Yarrowia lipolytica: one gene and its partner. The protein of the gene in region 1 interacts with the protein of each later gene in a pairwise test. Links are inferred from orthologs where the notes say so. Each region holds a gene or a part of one and is shown in the gene's direction. Other genes may lie near its edges. The genes, in order: YALI1_F35489g and YALI1_F06312g.

The links.
Region 2: the proteins of YALI1_F35489g (region 1) and YALI1_F06312g interact in binary tests that used the Saccharomyces cerevisiae proteins (3 or more experiments, as listed by UniProt). The link is inferred for Yarrowia lipolytica from reciprocal best matches to the Saccharomyces cerevisiae genes ULA1 and UBA3.

What each region holds. Positions count from the first base shown.
Region 1 is NC_090775.1:3,548,119-3,551,275, forward strand, and holds YALI1_F35489g (uncharacterized protein), read left to right. Parts: upstream 1-860; coding exon 861-2,375; downstream 2,376-3,157. Other genes in the region: YALI1_F35508g (uncharacterized protein), read left to right, coding at 2,702-3,157. UniProt on the Saccharomyces cerevisiae protein: Regulatory subunit of the dimeric UBA3-ULA1 E1 enzyme.
Region 2 is NC_090775.1:629,491-633,203, reverse strand, and holds YALI1_F06312g (uncharacterized protein), read left to right. Parts: upstream 1-1,402; coding exon 1,403-1,473; intron 1,474-1,928; coding exon 1,929-3,159; downstream 3,160-3,713. Other genes in the region: YALI1_F06351g (uncharacterized protein), read left to right, coding at 1-732. UniProt on the Saccharomyces cerevisiae protein: Catalytic subunit of the dimeric UBA3-ULA1 E1 enzyme.

The sequences.
Region 1 (3,157 bases):
TACTTGTAGCTACTAAAACTACAATGCGAAACTACTGTATTCACCCTCACAGCTCTGGCCGGTCCACTACTTTTTTTTTTTTTTTTTCTGCATAAACATTCATTTTAATTATAACTTTGCTGTGTGAAAGAATAACCTTTGAAATGAATGTTACGCTTACACGAATAATTACTAATTAAACCACGTTTAGTGTCATGGTTCCAACTTGGGCACGTACCTATTTTCCAGTAAAAAAATCATAAAAAAACCTGGGTTCAGTCCGTGTGTTGTATGTTTGGTCCACATAGCTTCGCCGTGTTTTTGTTTCGTTCATCGGGAAAACGCCCACTCCAGGTCTCCAGTTCTCTTAATCTCAATCCTTCCATTCCCTCTTCGTTTGCATTGCCTTTTGAAAAACGTCTCCCTTGTGGTTCTTCTTTCGTCATTGGTTTGGTTCTGCGTTCCCCTGTGGTGACTACGCGCCCTGCTTACGCTGCTGTTCTCTCGGTGGCCTCGGGCCGCCTTTTACGCTTGCTACTTCTTATTGCCACCCTAACGATTAACCTACAAGTGCAGTATCACTGACTATCATTACCAGGGCTTTTACTGTTCACACCCACACTACAGTTCAGGTTATCCCCTCATATAGCTATACCCCTGACCTGTCAATAAACAACATGACCTATCGTTCCTATTTTAATAATACGTATGTCTTATTTCTATTTACAAAAAAAAAAAAGAATATAAAAAACTTATGCACAAGATGCACGCTTTCTCTCTCTCACACACACACTTGGTACTCCCGTTTGTTCACACTGTGCACGCAGCACAGAAGACACCACCCCACAAATACAGTTCATGTTAGCATCACCACCAAATAAATGCACCGTGACAAACGCCAGCGAATGTCGGACTCAATTCCCAGCCAAAAAGACCGCAAGTACGACCGTCAGCTACGACTATGGGCCGCATCGGGCCAACGTGCACTCGAAGATGCGTCCGTGTGTCTTCTGGGCTCGTCTCCAGTCGCCACGGAAACCATGAAGAACCTGATTCTGCCCAATGTCGGCTCCTACACCGTGGTGGACGGTGGCAATGTGACAGAGGACGATCTGTCGGCCAACTTCTTCTTCGATTCAGATTCAATTGGAAAAAGCAAGGCTCAAAGTGCCAGTCTGTTGCTTAACGAACTCAACAAAGACAGCACAGGCTCATATCTGGACCAGAAGCCCAGCAAAATCGTAGCATCCAACCTCTCCTACTTTGACCAGTTCAGCATTATCGTTGCCTCTGTTTCTTCTTTCGACAAGTACTCGGATCTCGAGGCCCTTTCGGAGTACCTCTACTCACACTACATCCCACTTGTGGTGATCTCTTCGGCGGGATTTTACGGCTACGTGCGAGTGGTAATGAAGGAGCTCCCCATCATTGATACACATCCGGACTCGCTGGTAGATTTGAGATTGGATAGCCCCTGGCCTGAGCTGATGGAGTACGTCAACAACTTCCCAGAGCCCGAAACGGCAGCAGCACGAGATCATGTCCCCATGATTGTTTTATTGCTCAAGACGGCTGATAAGTGGATCAAGGAACATGAGGGAGGTCTTCCCACTAAGCGAGACGAGAAACTGGCATTCAAAAAACAGGTGGAAGCATTACGTCAGGGAGACAGCGAAAACGTGGACGAAGCAGTGGCCGCAGTATGGAGACTGTACCAAAAGAGCAACCAGGTGCCATCACAGATCCGGGACCTTTTTAATTTATCTGCTGAAGACTCTACAGATAGAGATCCGACCTTCTGGACTCTGGTTGAAGCCCTCAAGGACTTTGTGGCTGAGACGGGTACTTTTCCCCTGTCCGGAACCGTCCCCGATTTCAAGGCATACACCAAAGACTACGTTGATATCCAGCGTGTGTATAAGGACAAGGCAAACAAAGACCTGTCCAGGTTCAAGGAGATTGTGGCTACAAAGGTGGTGGAAGTTCCTGAGACTGTGATTGAGGAGTTCAGCAAGAACTCTCGATTCATCCATCTAGCTCGAGGAACGTCTCTAACCCATGACATCAGTCCCGAGAGTCTAGCCCAGATCACTTCTGAGGATGATGATCTTCTGAAACTCTACTACGTCATTCGAGCCAGCCAGATGCTGGGGGGTAAACAGGACGCGTTTTCGATAATGACCAAGACTAACGAGCTGGGAGTTACTGCTGACGTAGTGGAATACTCTCAGGAGGTCGCTCGATACGAGGGCCGAGAGCTTCATAACATTTCTAGTGTTATTGGAGGGGTGGCGTCTCAGGAGATTGTCAAAATTCTGGCTAAGCAATATGTTCCGTTGAACAACACTGTGCTCTTCGACGGCATTGGCAGTAAGATGGAGAAGTGGTTGTTGTAGGTCTGCGACATATAGATTAATTGGATAGGGTGGGGGTATGTGGATCAATCTAGAAATGTACCTCATCAGGAGACCCTGGAATAGTCTGTTTCTACCAGCGACAAGATCAGACAGTTGATCATGGACTCTGCTGTCTCATATCATATTCCCGATACGGGCACCTTTGTATCACTCGAACAACAAAGAACTTGATTACACAGCAGAACGTGTGTATTAAATTTCCCCTCCCCTACCAGTGTAATCAGCAAACTGTGAACTGTGGATATGGCATCCGAGGTGCAGGATCTCACTCTTCAACCCGACCAGTAAAAAGCGGTTGCATTTCAATGGGGTTACGGAGCAGGTTATCGACGGCTTTATTGGACGTTGCACTCAAGGGTCTGCCAGATGGAGCATACCCTCCAAGCCAGCTATCCAAGGTGCGGAAGTACGAAAACTTCGACTCTAAAATTCCGTGCAAGGACGACGACGTGATCGAGATACATTCATTGATTTTGGCAAGCCAAATGGTCCTTCTTTCTTTTTTATTTCTCAATATACTGTATTTGATTAACTACAACATCATTCAAGAGAATAATTTTGGTATCGAATGCAAGCAAAACGGGGTTCATTGGCAACATGATGGACAATCATATGAGCGAGAAGAGCTCCAAGAGTTACTTTACTGTAGGCTACCCGATCAAGTGGGTCGAAGCCATCGTTTTGTATCCCTACAAAGAGAAGATACACTTGAATTCCCTACAGCCAACGACGTTATTATCGTTACTCAAATGTACGATATA
Region 2 (3,713 bases), about 2.9 Mb from region 1:
CAAATGTCGCCCGAAGAAAGACGCAAGATGACTCCCCGAGTTTCTCTCTTCGGCGGTAAGTCCGCGCCCGGTTACTACATGGCCAAAACCATCATCAAGCTCATCAACGACGTGGGCAAGGTGGTCAACAATGACCCCGACATGTTCGACTCGCTCAAGGTGGTGTTTGTCGAGGACTACAACGTGTCCAAGGCCGAAATTATCATTCCGGCGTCAGACATTTCGGAGCACATTTCCACTGCCGGTACCGAGGCCTCCGGCACCTCCAACATGAAGTTTGTGCTCAATGGTGGACTCATCATCGGCACGGTCGACGGCGCCAACGTCGAAATCACCCGGGAGATTGGTGAAGACAACATTTACCTGTTTGGTCATCTCGCCGACGAGGTCGAGGACATTCGTCACAAGCACAAATATGGCGGAGTCCAGGTGGGCAAGAAGTTGCAGCAGGTGTTTGATTTCATCCAGTCCGGCGCTCTGGGCGACCCCGAGATCTACACCTCATTGCTCCATTCCATCAAGTACGGTGGGGACTACTACCTGGTTTCTGACGACTTTGACGCCTATCTCGAGGCCCAACATACCATCAACCACGACTTTAAGGACACCAAGGAGTGGGCTCGAAAGAGCATTGTCAGCGTGTCTCGAATGGGTTTCTTCAGCTCCGACCGAGCCATTCGAGACTATGCCGAGGGAATTTGGAACGTGGAGCCTTCTCCTGTGGAAGAGTAGCGAGCGAAGGATTATGTATGTGATTGATTATTTGTGTATGACCAGCGTCGGGGGAAATGACATTGGCGACATTGTTGGGTCTTTGTAGAGGCATGGCATTGGGATGTGGCCTTTGTAGTTGGCACCACATGGACGTATTTTCGACACATGTTGGCGGTAATGGGGACGACACGATAAGTCGGTAGTGCAACAGGAATCATGTAACCACGAACGATGACAAGATCTATTTAATTAGCGTGTCACGTGATTTTTGTGTGACTAAAACTGATAGACATTTTCCTCGAGTCCGTATCTACAAGCTATCAATACCCTTTTTTTCTTTCAATCTTTTTTTTTGTTTTTTTTTTTATATTTCTATTTTTTTACATTTCTCTTTTTTTATATTTCTGTTTTTTTTTATATTTCTATTTTTTATATTTCTATTTTTTCTATTTCTATTTTTTCTATTTCTATTTTTTATTTTATTTCTATATTTCTATATTTCTATATTTTTATATTTCTATTTTTTTAATATTTTTATATTTCTATTTTTATTTTATTATTTTTCTATATTTATATTTCTATATTTCTATATTTATATTTCTATATTTCTTATCATTTTTCTAATATTTTAATTCCCTAATACACAACCCAGAATCGAACACACATCCCCCACAACCCCACATGTAGAATGCATGAGCTGCATGATCAGATCTGGACCAGTCTCCCTAACTTATTCTCAACAATGACTGCCGTGAGAAAGTGAGTATGAGCAAAGACACACTGAGACGAGGTCATGTAACCGCGAATGATACACAAACATGTGCGACATGACAAGGTCACGTGATCCAGCAAGTCCCGTGGTCCAGAAACTCCCGCGACTCCGCGGCCCCGCGACCCCACGACTTTGACAGACCGGAAGCCAGCCAGGATCCAGGACCCAAGTGTATTGTGTGCCACAAACAGCGAGCAATTGTCACACACACACACACACACACATACACACACGTCCACGGCGATATATCTGGTCACGTGACAATGGTATCGCTGGTGCTCTGTCATTTCCATAGTTACGGCTTGGGGTGGCGATGTGGGGCATGACGTTATCATATTGTCTGTGCTAGTCGTGACGACGTATGACTTGGCATGTTGTGCACCATTCCCAGACCTATGTTGCTCGCCTCGTTGTCTGTACCCTGACTCCCTTGCTAACACAGCCCATACTCCATCTCTCCCGTTCTCACAACGTCCGGCCCGTTCTCGGACGAGGAGTTTGCGCCGTCGCCGGACGTGATCACCGCGCTGGCAGACATGTCCATCCTCGTGATTGGCGCTGGCGGTCTCGGCTGCGAGATTCTCAAAAACCTCGCCCTCTCTGGGTTTAAAAAGATCCACGTGATCGACATGGACACCATCGACATCAGCAATCTGAACCGGCAGTTCCTGTTCCGGCCGTCGGACGTGGGCAAGCCAAAGTCGGAGGTCGCCGCAGAGTTCATCAACCGCCGAGTCGCCGGCGTGCACGTGACGCCGCACTTTGGCAAAATCCAGGACTTTGACAACGACTTCTACATGCAGTTCACCCTCGTTGTCTGCGGCCTGGACTCCATCGAGGCGCGGCGCTGGATCAACGCCACGCTCGTGGGGCTGGTGGGCGACTCTCCTGAGACCCTCAAGCCGCTGATCGACGGTGGTACCGAAGGCTTCAAGGGCCAGTCGCGAGTCATTCTGCCCACCATCACCTCCTGCTACGAGTGCTCGCTGGACATGCTGACGCCCCAAACCACGTTTCCCATGTGCACCATCGCAAACACCCCCAGGCTCCCGGAGCACTGCATCGAATGGGCCAGCGTGCTCGAGTGGCCTAAACACTTTGACCGCAAGGCCGACAACGATGACGTCGAGGACGTGACGTGGATCTTCGAGCAGGCGCGCGCGCGGGCGGAGCAATTTGGCATCGAAGGAGTCACCTACCAGCTCACCCAGGGCGTGATCAAAAACATCATTCCGGCCATTGCATCCACCAACGCCATCATTGCGGCCTCCAGCTGCAACGAGGCGTTCAAGGTCGCCACCACGTGCGTACCGTTCCTCAACAACTACATGATGTACTCGGGCAACAACTCCGTGTACACGTACACATTTCAGCACCAGAAGCGGCCCGATTGCCCGGTGTGTGGCGTGCAGGTGCTGCGGCTGGCCGTGCCCAAGAGCACGACGCTGGAGAACCTCATCGAGCGCCTCAAGGAGAATCCCGCCACCAAGGTCAAGAACCCGTCGCTGCGAACGGCCTCCAAGAGTCTATACATGGCGTCGCCCAAGGAGCTGGAGGAGATGACCAGGGGGAATCTCGTCAAGCTGGTTGGAGAGTTGGTGGGTGAGGAAGAGGTGACGGTGACTGACGAGGCATTGCCGTTTAGCCTAAGGTTGGTTGTGGATGTCGAATAAAGAGTTGGTGAGCAGCGCGAGCCGCTCAACTTTTTTAATGGGTGTTGAGAAAGCATATTAGTACTGTCGTGCGAACGAAACACGAAATGAGCTGGAGGTGCTCTGCGAGATGCCCGAGCTGTCGTCGGTAGTGGTGATATACAACCGTCAAATGCATTACCCCCGTCGGTGGTGGCGATACGTCAGTTGTATCGCCAATTGACTCCGCCAACCGCATCACTTATTTAATAGGATCATCTTCCGTAGCAATGTGTGAACGCACTTGTAGTCAGAAACCAGTCGTGCGCGTGGGACACATGTGTGTGCGTATTGTAGACTGAGGTTTTTAGCAGGGCTGCAACAAACAATCGAGACAGACATTGACCGCATCCATGGTGTCCATGAGGAGAATACACGAGCCGCGGATAGCATCCTCCTCATGGAGCTGTGCACAGAGACTCACAAGAGCAGCTTCAGAGGAGTGAGCTGCGAAGAATGTCGGCCACACTAACGCCCGGAAGATCAAGTCGGCTCTCCGGGAAGCGTCGCCAATGGGCAGCACCAAGTGCGCGGTG